3 linked regions of the Bombyx mori genome follow. The protein of the gene in region 2 purifies or fractionates together with the protein of the main gene of each other region. This does not show direct contact. Links are inferred from orthologs where the notes say so. Each region holds a gene or a part of one and is shown on either strand. Other genes may lie near its edges.

The links. Proteins that work in one complex are often made in the same cells at the same time.
Region 1: the proteins of transcriptional adaptor 3 (region 2) and histone acetyltransferase KAT2A purify together in Drosophila melanogaster (affinity purification with western blotting; 3 studies listed by BioGRID, with this or other methods). This does not show direct contact. The link is inferred for Bombyx mori from reciprocal best matches to the Drosophila melanogaster genes Ada3 and Gcn5.
Region 3: the proteins of transcriptional adaptor 3 (region 2) and transcriptional adapter 2A purify together in Drosophila melanogaster (affinity purification with mass spectrometry; 5 studies listed by BioGRID, with this or other methods). This does not show direct contact. The link is inferred for Bombyx mori from reciprocal best matches to the Drosophila melanogaster genes Ada3 and Ada2a.

The regions. Positions count from the first base shown.
Region 1 is NC_085120.1:4,789,910-4,796,678, forward strand, and holds the start of histone acetyltransferase KAT2A, read right to left. Parts: upstream 4,158-6,769; 5' UTR 3,970-4,157; coding exon 3,888-3,969; intron 2,795-3,887; coding exon 2,616-2,794; intron 1,892-2,615; coding exon 1,765-1,891; intron 1,388-1,764; coding exon 1,242-1,387; intron 13-1,241; coding exon 1-12.
Region 2 is NC_085109.1:9,154,691-9,160,810, forward strand, and holds transcriptional adaptor 3, read right to left. Parts: upstream 3,658-6,120; 5' UTR 3,425-3,657; coding exon 2,042-3,424; 3' UTR 1,962-2,041; downstream 1-1,961.
Region 3 is NC_085111.1:1,074,911-1,080,565, forward strand, and holds transcriptional adapter 2A, read left to right. Parts: upstream 1-2,481; 5' UTR 2,482-2,489; coding exon 2,490-3,788; 3' UTR 3,789-3,798; downstream 3,799-5,655. Other genes in the region: cysteine-rich protein 2-binding protein, read right to left, coding at 2,389-2,481, 4,391-4,471, 5,193-5,374. UniProt on the Drosophila melanogaster protein: Component of the histone acetyltransferase (HAT) complex ATAC; predominantly involved in acetylation of histone H4, including at Lys-6 (H4K5ac) and Lys-13 (H4K12ac).

The sequences.
Region 1 (6,769 bases), on a different chromosome or scaffold from region 2:
TTTACGAAGTATCTGAAAAATATTTTAATCTATATATATAAAAATGAATTCCTGTTCGTTAGTCTCGCTAAAACTCAAGAACAGCTGGACCGATTTGGCTAATTTTGGTCTTGTATTATTTGTGGAAGTTCAGAGAAGGTTTAAAAGGTAGATAAATATGAAAATGCACGGAATTAAATAAAAATTACAATTTTGTTTTCCCATTGATGTGTCCCCGGTCGGACGGATTCCTTTTGTTTGTTATAAGTTTATTTTGATACAAAAGTTTAGGTCTTTTATTTATCGATTGAGACGCTACGAAGTCTGCCGGATCAGCTAGTCTTATAATAAAACACCACACAGCTTTTATTTAATTACTGCGCAATTTATAAATAACGTGTAGCGGTTGAAATTGTTTGGCAGACCGAGGGTCCGAATGTTATTGTTCGGAACTTATTCAGGCAATCTTGAAAGTGTCTTTCGAAATTCAGACACTTGTCCAATATCTTCTGTTCTGCATAGTGGCGGTCTACGGTCCAATGTTTTTTTTTTATCATTCTTTATAGGTGCTCCTGTAAGTTGAGCGCATAGCATTTTATGATCTGAATGAAAAGTTCTGTTTAAGTTTACGTCTTGAAGGTTTTTGGGCTTTTTGGCCAAGATAAAGTCAATTTCTTTTTTATATGTTCCATTTGAAGAGATCTGTGCCAGAGATTTTTCATATAGAAGCCATTGAGAATGGTCAATTTATTATCTAAAGCAAAAGTGCCTGTGTGCCTCCATCTTTTACCATGTGCATATTTTCCCATTGCATTATCTTATTTATTAACGTTACACCTTCCTATTTCTGTAAGAAGTACTAAGTCTAAGATTGTTATTCTTTCTAATGTGACTATTATTGCTTCAATTGTGTGCAAGTTTCTTTTTAATTTGAAATCCTACACAATAGTCCTGGTCCCACCTTTGTAATGTTTTTTTTTATTTATTTTTGTCTACCTATGCCATTAGCCTCGAGAGGTTATCTTGAGGACTTTAGTATAGGACCTAAATCTTCTATTCCTTCACTAGAAGATATGCTTTTCAATTCACTGATTCCTTTTCCAACCTACATTATGTCTGCCACGGCTATTTTCGAGTTCATGAAGTTTCTCAATACTTCATAATAATTATATCCGAAATGAATTTGTTAATCTTAGAAGGTCATGGTGTTTTTCCTCTGCGCGGACCAGTCTGCTTGGGGTAGCGAATTTAAAATAACAAACCTTAAATAAATAGTAGTAAACTTGTTTAGTGTTGTGGTCATCTTCTCTTTGCATCGACATAAATATGTTCTCTACGTCTACAACAGCACCGAGCAGCCTATTCACTTCTGCTACAGGCAAACCTTGTAGCTGACTTACATGTTTCTCTGGAAGCAGATACACAAAATATATCTTTGAAAATCCTATCCTACCTAACCTCCTAACCTACCATATTCCATTCATTAATAATGATAGCACATTCTGTAAATGAATGAAACATGAATTTTCTTGAATGAGAAATTTTTATGCTTAGTTTAGTAAATAGTGTTTCGTAGTTGTTTTCGGTATGTTAGAGTAGTTCTTTACTATTCATAAGACATATTGTAAATCAGAACAGCACTTATTCAATAAATTGAAAATAATTAAACGACGTGCTATTGAATAAAACTCTTAAATCATTTTACTACAAATTGTTTTTAAGACAAGTTTCAACCTAACCCTCTAGAAATTAAAGGCATTTATAAACTAGATTCCTCATTCATACCTAATACATGGTTGCAGTTTCTACACACGTCATTGAAGCTGGCAAGGGGCTGATTATCAGCCCGAGGAGTCTTGCCCGCATGCTGTGTTACTGGAGTCTTCCATCCATTGCAGTTACAATCTGGTGTCTACCACAAATATTAAAACTGATAGCTAATGATATATTGTCAGTCAAATTTGAATAAGTCCATAAACTTATAATGTTTGATGGTTAATGGTACTACTAACATCTAAATAGAAAATATTTGAATTGAGTCGTCTATTATCAAAGGCGGCAATCTGTGCATTTGGACAAAAAAATGTTATTGATATGTCAATACAGATTCATTTGAATATAATCGTCTCCTTCAAAGAATACGGTTTAAAACCTGCATTAAATAAAGGTTAATAGTTAACCTGTTATTTATCTAAGATGTCGTTCCGAAGAGTTTTGTGACTGCCAATGGAATACAAAGTCAATAATTCGTTTTTCTGATTTACCAATTATTGTCCAAAAGTCAGATTGCCGGCTTTGATAATAGTCGACTCAATTATAACATATTTTTTAATGTTTCTTTTCATTTTATTATTTCACAGAAGGCAGAATAATTAGAATTTGCGAAAGGATATGAAATCTAGAAATTAGATACTTATATTGTTATACAGTACACTTAACATTATGTTTTTCAAAATCATTTTCATCATTCATTGCTATTTGCTTTTAAGTTATGGGTATAATGTTAAGTTGAGATCAAGAGGAGTTACTTCGTTTTATTAAATAATGTTTTCATGGTTTTTAATTCCTTATCGCTTAAAAGTCATGATAGGACATCATTACATTCAGTGCATTAGTAACATTTTCATTTACAATACCTGACAGGCTGAATATATAGCTAGTTTGAGTAGTTTTTTATTATGGGGCCAGTTGAAAACTTGTTGTTTTCTTTGTTGTATCCTTTGTAGGTTAGACTGCCGGGAAGCCTGTCCTTCACTGCCTGCAGGAGTCCCGGCATTGCTTGATGATGCATCATCTGCACTTAAGCTTGATGTAGCTAGAGGAAAGTTTGTAAATGAACGCTGAGTTATTGCGGTAGTTTAGTAGCAAATTATAATAAATTTATTTGGAATTAAAGGAGAAGTTTGTTTTTCTTGGTGTTGAGATCTCCTGTGGCTATACAAAGCACACTGTGCAAGTTACTGTTCACCTTCAAATATCAGATCAATCAGATTACATTCCAAAATGACTATTTTACCTAGTAAAGCCTTCATAATTGCTTTGACAGATACAAACAAGAATGTAGTGGTAATTTTTACTGATAGCACTTTTTATTTTATTACTTGAACAAATATTCGCCAGCACCTTAATGATTATTAAACCTCTAATGTTGTTGTTGTTGTAAGCCTCTAATGATTATTAAACCTCTAATGTTCATTTTCAAACTTATTGCTTACACAGTTTCATATCCATGTTTGGGAATAGCAGCCTTTGGTCATTTTGTTTCTATATAATATTTTTATATATAATGACAAGAATAATTATGAGGAATGGATTTATCTGTCCCGCCATGTACATGGTGAATATCTGCTAATTCTTCTATGTAGTAATTGCAAGTTGGGCCATCACTTAAAATATGCTTTTCAATACATGGCCTATTAGTCGCCATACTTATATAAAGCTACACCACACCTGGTTTATAGCGGTGAATATTGTAATGAGGGTAGTCTGAGATAAGAAAGTTTATGAGAATATAGATAGACCTGGTTATGTAGTAGTAGCTCAAGAAAGTACGGTTTCCAGCCTTTCTGAAAAATAGCTGATCAGACTATCACTATATAAGATTCTTTTATATGTGTATGTAATAGAGAAATTACAAGTACTAATGGCTTACAACTATCTATAGAATAGCGGGAGAAATTACCACATACAAAACACAGTTGAATTTCGATTTTGTTAAAATTTAGCTCAATAGCTAAATTTACACACATACATTTAAATTTACAGTTACAATTAACTTGGTTCACGTGGTGTTTTCATTTTCAACTACATATATTAAAAAAGCCGATAAGATGTTAAGGTCATTATTCTGGTGATTTCTATACAAAATTATTAATTATAGTTGAAGAAGCGTGATTTTGTTTATTTACCTTCATGTGTATGATTTTGTGAGGAGTCTGGCTCTGTGCTTGTCATTGCTATGTCAGCTATTTCGTCAGTCGCTTGAGACATAATATACAATCACAAACAAATTTTTGTCGCAGTAATTCTTCCCGTAAATAAGAAGTCAACGCTCTCATTTATGTATTCACTGCATTTTGGAAATAGTTACACTGATAACATGAAATAAGGCGCAAACAACAGCAGTCAAACTTTTTATCAGAATTAGACAGTTGACGTTAACACAGATTTCAGATTCAAATGACAAGTATTGTCTCCTTCATAGATATTTTTTTTTTGGTACCATTTTTCCTTGTTAGGAAAGGCAAGGGAATCTAAGCCCATACAGCCTTGTCTGCTCTATATATTCTCTGAAATAAATTTTCAAAAAAGCCGAAGCCAGGTCTTATATGATATATCTTCATAGATAATACACTTGTCTCCTTTTTGCTATAATCTATGGAGGGTAGAGGTAAGGAGAACCGTCTGGACTTTTTGGCGGGAACGCGAGGAGTGAAGTTGTGTGATTTTTTTTATTTTTTTTGTCTATTTAGTGTTTCTTCGGGTTTAAATGTGTAATAATGGTGGTTTATTAACCGTTTAATATCTGTGAAAGTGCACAAATGTGGGAAAATGAAACAAAGCCGCTGGACGTAACTTCTCGGGATCCTCCAAAAAGTCCACTGAAAAAATCTTAGTAAATGACCACCATTTTACTGATATTAGATTTCATCTCATATCATCTTATTTAATTTCATCCCAGTTGATTAAAGTCTGAAATTAATCATTTTTATTTCATTTCACTCCATAATATCATTTTTCATAAAATTAAGAATATACATTAAAATAAGACATGACTTAAAGGTCTCAGTTACCAGGTCATAAAATCTCTTAAAAAAAAAGGAGAACCGTCTCTGGTAGTTTTCCAATAACAGCACAAGAGCGCATTAAGCGGCACAATGCATAAATAAGCTTCAGCATAATTCGGCATTGTGCGTCACTGAGTCGCATTATGCTCTGTAACTGGAAAACTACCTGTATTAGTTTTCCAATTACAGAGCATAATGCGACTCTAATATGCGAATATTATATATAAAACTTGATTACATTCAATTACTTATGATCAATTTATATTTAGTTGGAAAATGATCTGCGACAAATTTTTCCTGTAAGCTATGAGAGAATTAGAAAAAACATCTATTTCATCACTTAAAATTAGTTCAGCGCAATCGGACAACCCCGAATGAACATATGTTGTTGTTCAAAGCAGGCATGTAATTACCAATTATTCTAACAAATTTTGTTACTAAGGAATAAGTGATTAATGGTGGTATGGCTCATCATACGAGACTACTTGTCGAACCGTTCGTTCCGATATCGGGTCGAGGGAACGCACTCTCGCCCCCGTCACGTTACAGCCTACAGCCGGAGTCCCGCAAGGCTCCGCCCTCTCCCCGTTACTGTTTAATTTGTATATCAATGATATACCCCGGTCTCCGAAGACCCATCTGGCACTCTTCGCCGATGACACGGCTATCTACTACTCGTGTGGGCGTGTAGGAAGAAGTCGTTATTGCATCGACGACTCCAGACCGCAGCCACCACCATGGGACAGTGGTTCCGGAAGTAGCGCATCTACACAAACCCCATGAAAAGCACAGCGGTGCTCTTCAAAAGCTCTTCAAAAGGGGTCGCTCTCCGAATAACACCTTGAGCATTCCACTCCAGACTAGGCGCGTTAACACCTCCGCTTCCGCCATTCGCCCAATTATCATGTACGACCAACCCATACCGTGGGCCCCGAAAGCCAAATACTTAGGTGTCACCCTCGACAGAGGGGTGACATTCCGCCCCCACATAAAGACGGTACGCGACCGTGCCGACTTCATACTAGGACGCCTCTACCCGACGATATGCAGGCGAAGTAAATTGTCCCTTAGAAATAAGGTGACACTCTACAAAACTTGCATACGCCCCGTCATTACCTATGCAAGTGTAGTGTTCGCTCACGCGGCCCGCACCAACTTAAAATCATTCTAGGTTATTCAATCCCGTTTTTGCAGGATAGCCGTCGGAGCTCTGTGGTTCGTCAGGAACGTCGACCTCCACGACGACCTGGACTTAGAGTCCATCAGTCATCTGCAGTCGGCGTCGATGCGCCACTTCGATAAAGCGGCACGACACGAGAACCCTCTCATCGTGGCCGCCGGTAACTACGTTCCCGATCCTGCGGAAAGAGTGGAAAGCAGGCAACGTCACCCCAAACACGTCATTTTGGATCCTCCCGATCCACTAAGGGTGCTTTTAGGTACCTCAAGCACCCGTCGAACCCGTCGCTTGCGACGAAGGGCTCGACGAGTAAATTAACCCTCAGACACAGCCCACTGAGTTTCTCGCTGGATCTTTTCAGTGGGTCGCGTTTCCGATCCGGTGGTAGATTCTGCGAAGCACGGCTCTTGCTAGGGTTCGTTTTAGCAACGTCGTCAGGTTTGAGCCCCGTGAGCTCAGGTTAAGGTTACGCTGATATAGCCTCTCTATAGGCTCCGGTAACCACATAAACCAGGCAAACCGTGAGCTTGCCCAACAATCTAAGCGATTGAAAAAAATTATTACATTAAATTTTTTGTTTAATTAATTTTTTTCTTGTGTAGGGGAAAAATAACTGTCGTTTTTATTAATATTGATAGCACTAAAATTCATCAATAGTTAGGCACTGAACGAAAAAGAAAATAGATTTAAAAAAACAGCAGAGAATGGTCCCAAATTGTTTTTTTTTTATTGCTTAGATGAGTGGACAAGCTCACAGCCCACCTGGTGTTAAGTGGTTACTGGAGCCCATAGACATTTACAACGCAAATACGCCACCCACCTT
Region 2 (6,120 bases):
GCTGTTAATGATGTCTGGGAAAGAATTCAAGACTCTTTTTCTCTTCAATGTTCTATTGACGAATTAAAAAGGAGAAATTCGTGAGACATTCGTAAACAAGTGTAGGAGGAAGCGCAAACGGGTTCGCAAATTGAGTATGCGAACCCATTTGCACAGCCGCTAGGTTTGCGAATGAATGTTTGACGGCGCGCGCCGTCAGTGGTCGGCATAAGACTTGTAAGCTTAGATTATAAGCTATGGTCAAGATGAGTGAATCTAATGAAGAAATTCGATACCTTTTAAAATTTTACTACAAAAAAGGTAAAAATGCAACGCAAGCCGCGAAAAAAATTTGCGATGTTTATGGACCTAGTGCAGTGTCTGTGAGAGTAGCACAAATTTGGTTTAAGCGTTTTCAATCCGGAAATTTTGATGTCAAAGATGCACGTCGCTCTGGTCGCCCTATTACGGATAAAATGGATGCCATTTTTGAATTAGTGGAGCAAAATCGGCATATCAGTAGTTACGACGTAGCTAAAGAACTGGGGAATTGACCACAAAACAGTTTTGGCGCATTTGAAAAAAATTGGGTACACAAAAAAGCTCGGTATTTGGGTACCTACCTCATGAGCTCACTGAAAAAAACCTAATGAACCGTGTACTAATTTGTGATTCTTTATTACGACGTAATGAAACCGAACCATTTTTGAAGAAGCTGATAACTGGGATGAAAAGTGGCTCACGTCCGACAAGAACGTGCGAAAAAGGTCGTGGTCAAAGGCCGGTAAGGCTTCACAGACTGTGGCGAAACCCGGGTTAACTCGCAACAAGGTGATGCTGTGTGTGGAGGGATTAGAAGGGCATTATTCATTATGAGCTGTTACCACTAGGCTGGACCATCGATTCTGAACTGTACTGTGAACAACTGATGAGATTAAAGCAAGAAGTTGAGAGAAAGCGGCCGGAATTAATCAAGAGAAGAGGTGTAATTTTTCATCATGATAATGCTAGACCTCACACATCTTTAGCCAATCAGCAAAAATTAAGAGCCTGGCTGTGAGGTGTTAATGCATCCGCCGTATAGTCCTGACCTTGCAGCTTCAGATTTCCACCTGCTTTGGTCTCTTTAGAATTTTTTAGGCAGTGTCAGGTTAACATCACAAGAGCACTACCAAAATCAATTGTCGCAGTATATTGATCAGAACCTCCAAAAAACCTACAAGATAGCAAAAAGTTATTGAACAAAATGGTATTAGTTAAATATAAATAAACTATATTAAAAATGTCGTGAATTTTCTTAAAAAATGTTAAGAAACTTTTCCCCAACCTTATATGAGTCGACTATTATCAAAGCCGGCAATGTGACTTTTGGACAATTATTGGTAAATCAGAAAAACGAATTATTGACTTTGTATTCCATTGGCAGTCACAAAACTCTTCTTAACTACATCTTAGATAAATAACAGGTTAAGTATTAACCTTTATTTAATGCAGGTTTTGAACCGTATTCTTTGAAGGAGACGATTATATTCAAATCAATCTGTATTGACATACCAATAACATTTTTTTGTCCAAATGCACAGATTGCCACCTTTGATAATAGACGACTCGTATATAACAAAATAAAATGAGGTAATACAAAATCTGCAGTAAATAAAAAATTTGCATTAGCATTCATTAGTTCTGTTCTGTGCAGATTCACAAGACATCTTACCACCAGAGTAATTGTGCAAATTATAAACTTGCAGGTTTGATTTTTTTTACATGATGAGAAGTCCCTACACGGTGGAAGTCTATTGTGAACATTTGTTAAATACATATTTCATTAGAATAATTGGTACCCACCTGCGGGATTCAAACATTGTTGCATCACTAGATAAAAATGCACTAAACATCTTATCCTTTAAAAAGTCAAGGCCATAATCCAAGGCCAAGGTCAAATTTGCCAAATAAGTAGTTAGTAGTCACAGTAATAAAACAAGTATTTTTCCATATTTAATTCAACAGATACTCCTAGAATAATTACCACATGTTATTTTTGTATCATGCCGAACACTAATATCTAATTTGAATTTGGACCCGTTTGTGGCAAAGCATTGATTTCTTTGTTTAGCCTTATTTGTTCATTTATTGCTTTCCAAGCATCTTCTTTTTCCTTCTTAGTAACAGGGCGCTTCTTTTGTTTAGCCGCTACCATCTTTTTATAAATATCAATACATTCTAGATCCACTTGATCCAGTTGCTTTTTCAGATTCAGTCTAATCATTTCTTGTTTACACAAACCAATTAAATTTTTAAGATTTCGACAATTCTCTTTACGTACAGCTGTTAATTCTGTTTGACATTTTTTAATCTCTGCTAGTATTTCATCATCAGCTGGATTAGTGAGAGGTGGTAAATCCTCTGGATCAAGTATTCCTTGTTCAACCAATTCCTTCCTCAAACACTTTTCTAATGTTAATGAATTCTTGTAGCCACTTTTAGTGGTGGAGACCATTTTTACTTTAATATCAGGTATTTCATAAGACATCACATTCTCTTCCATAAGAGCAGAGACTAATCTTTGTGTCAAAGGTCCAGTTATCATGCTTTCTGATGACTTTTCTAGCTTCTTACGAGCATGAGATGCATCTGGAGACATAGATGATTTTTGCTTATTAGGATTAGATGCATTTTGATCTTCAGCAAGATGTTCATCTGCCCAAACTTCTGAGTAATGCTTTCCTAATGGAGGGATCGGAGGTAGTGTGGTGTTACTGCTTTGAGCTAATAAGGACTCTAAAAATTTTATATCATCCAATGTTACAGGAGCACAATAAGGCTCTACTGAATTCCAAAATTTATATGGGATATTATTTTTAGGCAGTGCTAATTGTGAAAGTTCAAGTTTTACAGAGTTGTCTGAATTCACTAAATCATTAGAGTAGGTATGAGATCCTGAGGAAGCGTTTGAGAAATTTTTAAATTTAGGCACTTTTGGCTGATTGGATAATTTTGTGTAGTCTTTAGTTTTAACCACTTTGTCATCTTGAAATTTTCTTTTTACAGGATACTGTAGCTGTTTACCGGCTGCTTTGCCTTTTTTTTCTCTTTTAGATTCATTCGAATCTATGCTTTCTATTTCAGATTGAAAATATCTGCATCGTAGGGCAGTATTACATAGCAATGACTCTAATTCCAACTGTAACCCATCCAGCTCATCCATCCCAATAGGTTCATCAGCAGATCTCGCTGCAACCGCAGTAAATCGTGGCAAAAGCACTGCATTATCTTGTATTTTAATGTATGGAATTGGGCATGTCTCAACTTTGATTTTGGCAGTAGAAACAGAACCTGGAATCTTTGTTGGTTTAGTGTATGGTGTAATTCCAGGGCTTGATGGCTTTCCATTGTCTTTGTTAGCTAGTCTGCCTTTGCTATTATGATGCATCCTCTTACCCAGCATCTCGATTCAATATAATTTACCCGCCAAAATAAATAACACAAGCCCAATATTCTACGCTAATCTACATTATTTATTGCACTGAAATCTTGGAATCACTTTAAAATGTTAGACTTTAAAGTACTTAACGTTAATATCACGTCTATGACTCAACTTGTGTTGATTTTTTAAGACAAAAGCGTAATTCTTAAAGTTTCTCTAGTACAGCAAAACAAATGCCGAAATCACAGAACAAAATGGCGTTCAGAAAATAAAACTTATTTTTTATTTGATACCGTTTTTAACACAGAAGCTTTACCTTTTTTTTAAGGGATTTTATGACCTGGTAACTAAGACCTTTAAGTCATTTCTGATTTTAAATTATATTCATATTTTTATGAAAAATGATATTATGGAGTGAAATGAAATGAATATGATTAATTTGAGACATTAATCAACTGGGATGAAATTAAATGAAATGAGATGAGATGATATGGGATGAAATATAATCTCAGTAAAATGGTGGTCATTTACTAAGATTTTTTCAGTGGACTTTGTGGAGGATCCCGAGAAGTTACGTCCAGCGGCTTTGTTTCTTTTTCCCACATTTGTGCACTTTCACAGATATTAAACAGTTAATAAACCACCGTTATTACACATTTAAACCTGAAGAAACACTAAATAGACAAAATAAAACAAATCACACAACTTCATTCCTCGCGTTCCCGCCAAAAAGTCAGAAGTTTTACCTACTTTTTTTTTAAGTGATTTTACGACCTGGTAACTAAGACCTTTAAGTCATGTCTTATTTTAATTTATATTCATATTTTTATGAAAAATGATAATATGGGGTGAAATGAAATGAAAATGATTAATTTGAGACATTAATCAACTGGGATGAAATTAAATGAAATGAGATGAGATGATATGGGATGAAATATAATCTCAGTAAAATGGTGGTCATTTACTAAGATTTTTTCAGTGGACTTTGTGGAGGATCCCGAGAAGTTACGTCCAGCGGCTTTGTTTCTTTTTCCCACATTTGTGCACTTTCACAGATATTAAACAGTTAATAAACCACCGTTATTACACATTTAAACCTGAAGAAACACTAAATAGACAAAATAAAACAAATCACACAACTTCACTCCTCGCGTTCCCGCCAAAAAGTCCAGTTTTACCTACATAAAGTCAATGTTGCCACTTGTCATTTGTCAGTCAACAGATTGTCAGATTAGTACCTATATACCTACCTAATTCAAAGAGAAAAATGAAGGAATACCATATCACCGAAAAAAGTGTACGTTAAAAGAGAACCAATTAAGGTAGCGCCATAGTAGCTAGTCGAAAAAATTTAAGAACCGCCTTAAACTACCACACTGCAAATATTTATTTATTTATAACTTCTTATACTAGAAAGTATAAAGGCGGATTTAATGCCATAGACATTCTCTACCAGTCTACCTTAGGGGAGTGCAGAGATGAAGCTTGGTAGGTGTAGCGTGAAGGTGATATTACTTAAACATGTGTATATATAACATACATAATATTTATAGATACAAATACTCATACTTAAATAAATACATAGACGTAAATATATAGATATACATAAATATATACATATACATATCATAAATATATACATATAAAAACATATATAAACAAACATTATCAATTAGATGACGAATGATCGGCGGCGACGATGAAAGCATACGGAGTGTAAGTGTAACTCGCTGACACACGGAGATAACCTGGGCTCGCCAACTCAGACTGGAGTCAATAAGTAGGCCTAGGTCCTTTACAACTGAACACCAGTTGATGGTTGAGCCATCATATATAACCGATGGGACATATGCCATATCCAACCGATATAACAAGCGTTGACTTCCAACAATAATAGCCTGACATTTGGCGAGATACACGCTTATGCCGAAACCGTCAGACCAGGATTTAATGTAGGACAGATCGTTATTTATTTTTCCAACTGCCGAAGACACACTATCGACTCCAGCCTCAGCATAAAGCTGCAAATCATCGGCATATAGATGGTACGCACATTGAAGATTTTCGGTAATGAGATTAATAAAAATTGAAAATATTAGAGGAGAAAGAATGTACTGTAAAAGTACTGTAAGGTGTGACGAAAATTTAGTATATTGCAAAGTTCTAGTACTACTACCATTCCCTTATAGACTTACCGTAATAGGGGTAGTGTAAGAAGTGGAAATGATACGAATATAGCATAGCGTTTAAACAGTGTGAAGTGTGCTGGATTGCAGTGAAGGCTATGTTACAATTGGAACACGTAAAGCCCTCTGAAGTCTTAGTAAATTCCCAAAATTTTAGTAGGACAACATCTCGTTCCATTCCAATACTTCCAATATACTTTATTACGGTGTATATATATTATAGTGTACGGATTCAAATTAATCAACTATATTTATAGTACATATACGGATTTTATTAAGTCGATTCTGGCAGCGATGGCACTACCACAGAAGCCAATAGTCATACTGAATACACCAGGAGAAATTAGCACCATTTTGACTTTTGCACTGTCCCATGATATTTCATATCATGCTATCTCGTTTCAATCCATTTGTTTCATTTTCTTCCGAAAAGATTATAATCTCAAATAAATCAAATTCATCTCATTTCGTTCCATTACTTATTATTTTTCAGAAAAGTTTTATACCGTACTTGATGCTACGCACACTGCT
Region 3 (5,655 bases), on a different chromosome or scaffold from region 2:
ACTGAAACAAAAAAAAAAGATCAGTCTCGACGTTTGACACCTTTTTTGGAAGCACGATTTCGTCGATCATTTTCGTTTCATAAATTTGATAGACCACATTTTATAACAAAACCACGGTTTTTAAATGAAAAAAATCAACATAGCATTTTCAGAACACTTACTTGTATTAGAGAAACTTTAATCCTTGATAATTTAAGCACAATTTACGAAATTTTAGCAAATAATCACAACGCAAAACTCAACACTTCACTTCAGCAATATCACAATTGAATGAAACGCGGCGCTCTCGTCGAACCAAAATATATACATCAAAACATCTAGAACATTCTAGGACCTTCACCCGTGACGTGAGCGAGATGCAATAAAAAGAAAGCAATATGAACTAGCTAATGTTAAAAAGAGACAAATATAAATTTCTATGTTCATCGGCTAATGGGCACGTCATTTTCTCGAATCTCGACCCGATTATAAATGTCAGTATGTTCTCGTTGTTTCTTTTTTATTTTACCATGTTCTCTGTTACGACTTAATAAATAAAAAATGCAATATTTAATTGTTCATGTTTTCAAAATATTATCTATTTAATGATTATTCTGAAAAGGGGATTATTTATTTTAAAGCGATACTAGTGTTTATTATATCTTTTAGATTGTTTTTTTTATTAGATCTACTGTTAACAAATTCAAAAATTAAGGAAGCTTATCAAAGAAGAACATCATCTATCATAGCGGGTTAATCAAATGATACATTTTGGATTTAGTTACCCAGTTTTCCTAAGTAAACTAAAACACTGTGTTTTATTCGTTGCTGGTAAAGTATGGAGGTTAGAGGTAAGCAGAACCAGCTGTAAGCATCACCCGCTGTTTGCCTTTACCGTCCATACTTTTCGAGAAATGGTTTTCTGTGTATGAAAAAGTGATCGTCGAAAGGCGACCAATTAGGGTAGCGCCATCGTAGGCAGTGGTGTAATTTTAAAGATAGCCCAGAAAGTTTTTCAACTAAGCATACTTCACTCCCTTACAATTTCTACATCATCCATTTGCTACACTAGCCCTGTTTTAATGAGTTTTCTGAATTGCAATTTGCTGCTTACAGCCGGATGCTTCTTCAACTTGTCTCTCATTTTAAGATAGTTCTCCTTACCTATAAGTACACACCTAAGAGTTAAGTATGAAGTCGTAACAGATATTTAGCAGTGATACATAGTAAACGTTGACAAAGACATAAGTACAGATATATGAAAAAGTAGGAATGATCCTTCTTCTCGAAAAAGAGAAAATCGACTGCCCATAAATATATTTTTTCGATATTCGCTTTTTTTTTATTTTCCGTGTAATGTCACCAGCACCGACTTTAAAATACTTTTTTAATATCGATGCTTTGATGTCAAATGGAATGGATCGGATTGAAATGAATTTGTTTATTAACTGATATTGTCATCAATTTGCGTTGTTTCAATAGATTTTTTGGAAGAACCCGAGACGTCACGTTCAGCAACTTTATTTCATTTTCCAATAATAATGGATTTTCACACATGATATGATGATAACCTGTTTGCAAATGCATTTTGATTTGCTAATGTCCTAGATGGATTGGCTATTATAATGATAAAAAGATCGATTTAAACAGAAATCAATCCCTGATCACCATCCCTACTCACCGAGATATGTAGTTATTTTGAATAAAGTTATGTATGTATGACAGGGCAAGAACAAAAAAGGTAAGATCTTTTTGGCGGAACCGCGAGGAGTGAAGTTGTGTGATTTGTTTGTTAGATTTAAATGTGTAATAACGTGGCTTATTAACTGTTTAGTATCTGTGAAAGTGCACAAATGTGGGAAAATGAAACAAAGGCACTGGACGTAACTTCTCGGGATCTTCCAAAAAGTCAATTGAAAAAGTCTTAGTAAATGACCACCATTTTACTGAGATTATATTTTATCCCATATTATCCAACCTCATTTCATTTCATGCCATGTTTCATTAATCAACTTCATTTAATTACACTTCATATTATCATTTTTCATATAAAATGAATTATAAAAGATTAGGCTGTATGGTATGATACCATTGACTTTTCAGTTGAAAAAATAAAACTACTACTATTATGTAGGAACCGTACTTACTTAAATATTGTATTTTCTAAACGTTTGCTGAAATAGTAATCCCTAACATTACATAGTTTAACCGGTTTTACTAAATAGAAAAAAATCACTATCTTCTATTGTAAACCAATAAACAACTGATCTGTGCGTGAAGTTCTATCGAAATGTAGGTGTTTAGTTCTTTTGTTTTTGAATTTTTGAAGTTTGTTCAATAGGTAAGTGATAGTTAGACTATTAGGTTTTGTTTGTAAATAAAATAAAGGTTTTTAAAGTACTACTTTATTTATCTGACAAGTCGAAGAAAGAGCGCGTGCCGGCATCCCTTGTATTCGATGTCGTAGTACTTCTCATAAAAGTCTTGTATAAGTTCTTCAACCTGAAATAATGTCCAGAGATATACTACAAACGAACTGCGATTTGTGTTCAGAAGTCGCACACGAGCCTTTTATCGAATGTTGCGAGTGCGAAAGCAATGTTTGCACTCCTTGTTTTTCATCCGGCAAGGAAACAGAAATGCATAAAAATGACCACAAATACGCGATAAGAAGAAATGATTTTCCATTATTCGGTAATTGCAATTGGTCTGCTAAAGAAGAGTGCAAATTGTTATCAGCACTTTCTACATACGGATTCGGAAATTGGGAAGAAATATCTAAGAATGTGCACACACGTTCTAAACTCGAATGTCAAGAGCATTATAGGAAATATTACATAGAGAATGTGCAGTATAAAGAATTGAGATTACTAAAGGAAACACAACAGTCACTTTTTCCAATGCCAATTACTCCATACTTGTACAATACAGATGTAAGCACTAATCCGCCTAGAAATAACAGTTCAGATCAACATTTAGCTGGTTACAATACATATAGATCTGAATTTGAATTCAGTTATGATCACAATGCTGAAAGCATATTTAATATTGAAGACAGTTACTCTGAAGATGATGATGAGGATGAGGATGAAATGGACATGATGGATTCTTTAAAGGTGTCTTTAGTGAATGCTCTTAATACAAGATTAAGAGAAAGACATAGAAGGTATAAAATTATACAGAATCATGGCTTAGTAATGCCAAATAAGCTTTTCTCATGGATCCAAAAGTTTGACCTCACTATAACACGACAGAAAGCAGAACGATTGCTTTGCTTCATGCAGTTCATGACAGGAATACAGTTTGACGCTTTCATGGAATCCATGAGCTTAGAGAACGAGCTGTTACAGAGAATTGGACATTTATGTGAATACCGTAAGAATGGTATAAAAACTCTTTATACTGCCAAACTTTATAAGCAACTTAAAAAAGAAAATGACATAATCATGAAAGAACAAAAGTATGCTACATGTGTTATGGCCAAGAAATTTGAAAATCAATCACCAGTGAAGACTATGTACACAAAAAACCACCAAGTGCTGCGTTACAAGCGTATGGCAATGCCCTTAGAAATAATTGACTTGCCAGGTTTCCACAGGCTGAGTGAGGCTGAACAAGTACTATGTTCTAATTTGAGGCTTGTACCAACAAACTACTTGGAAATAAAAGAGCATCTTATAGCTCAGAACAGTAAGCTTGGATTCCTACGACTTTTAGATGCAAGGAAAATTGTTAAAATAGATGTAAATAAGACTAGGAAAATTTATGATTATTTGTTATATGAAGGTTTTATAAGTAAACCATTGTGACTATGACAAATTGGTATCATTTAACACCACATATGCTATGCTGAATTGCAGATACACACACTTGTCAACTATTTATCAATCGAAAATTATTATGCAACAAAGTATTGTTAGCCTGTGTGTATTTCTACCACTAATGTGCCTATTTTAGTCTTAAAGTATTCATACTTTCAATATAACTTGAACAGTGTGAGAGCAGTGACATTACAATACTTTGGGATAGGTGAGTTGGGTGTGAGCTCAGAAGCCCAACTGCAGAAATGAAATATTCATAGTTCACGTTGTCTGTTTGTCTGTTCTTTGTGCACAAAATGTTACTTTTGGATTCATTATCAACAAATAATGTGGTAGTGTAAAATGCGATGAAAATAGTTAGATACATAGATACATTGGTAATATGAGGTATGAGGTCAAAATTTTAGTAGCTTTGAAATAGTAGACTAATCTATGCATCAGCATGTTTCTGGCGTGAAGCAGTTTTGTAAAACTCCAGATAAGTTTACATAATAATTACAATACATTGAGTGATATTCATAATGTATCATAATATGCTGATAATACATTGTACCATAATACCAGAGAAATAGGGTTTTCATGATACTCACTTTGAAGCCAAATTTTTGATATAAAAATATAGCTGGATTTGTTGGTGACACATGCAGTGTGATATCTTGGCCCGTGCAAGTCTGTAAGTAAAAAAGGTAATTGTCTACAACACTTAAGCCTGAACCTTATATTAGCAAATAATTTAAGGTAAACATACAATGCAGTTGATACTTTGACCCATAGAGTAAGATTATATATAACCTAACTTTGACCTGAAGTCACCAGTATTCAATGCAGGGTGAACCTTCTTTATTTAAAAAAAATGAACAGTTTTGTGTCCGTTGCCATGCAACCCATATCATGATCCGTTTTACTGATTGAATTAATATTATATTAATACGTTGACCGCCATGTAGGGCACTGATGCCCTACGCGGCGCACTGAGGTAATTATGTCGATCTCTATTACTAAGCGCTGGGATTGCTTAATTTTGCCTTCTTTTGTGTTTAATATAATATGTTTTAGTATTTTAGGTCTCCAGAAATATATTCATTCTCAGTATCTTCGAATTCTTTCCCAGCGACTACGAGATGTTTCAGCGCCTTAGTAAGAAGATAGAAAAGAGAGAAATCGACATAATTACTTGAGTGCGCCACGTAGGGCACCGGTGACCTACATGGCAGTCAACGTATTAAGATCTGGCGATATGTTCTTACTTCGTATGTTCTTCACTGGAGATACAACTTTCTTTTTTAAAGAAAGTTTCTCCACTACGGAGACTGGATTATGTGGTAACCAGATCCATCTTCCTGAAATATCGCAATAAATGTCCGCCTTACTGTTCCTCATGGGCGAGTATACCTGAAGTAGATGGTACAGCATGAATGTAGCTATGCCGGCCCTGCCCCACTCCGGCCTGGTGAGCACGAAGGAGATGTACGCGGTGGAATGTCCCGCGTCCGGCACCAGGAAGGCACAGCCCACGACCAGGCGTCCGTACGTCACTACGCAGCTGAACTCTGGGTACTGCAGGGCCTCAGTTACTGGCGGACATCACAAACATATCTAAGCAAAATTATAATTTCCCTTATTACTTGTGGTAGGAACTCTTGTGAGTCCGCGCGGGTAGTTACCACTACCCTGCTTATAGCTGCCGTTAAGCAGTAATGCGTTTCGGTTGGAAGGGCGGGGGTTCTAACTATATTGAGACCTTAGAACTTATATCTCAAGGTAGGTTGCGGCATTTACGTTGCAGATGTCTATAAAAAGCGTGATCAGACACGGTACCGCGATGTTTTTAGTTTTTGAACCTTGTATGTTTATG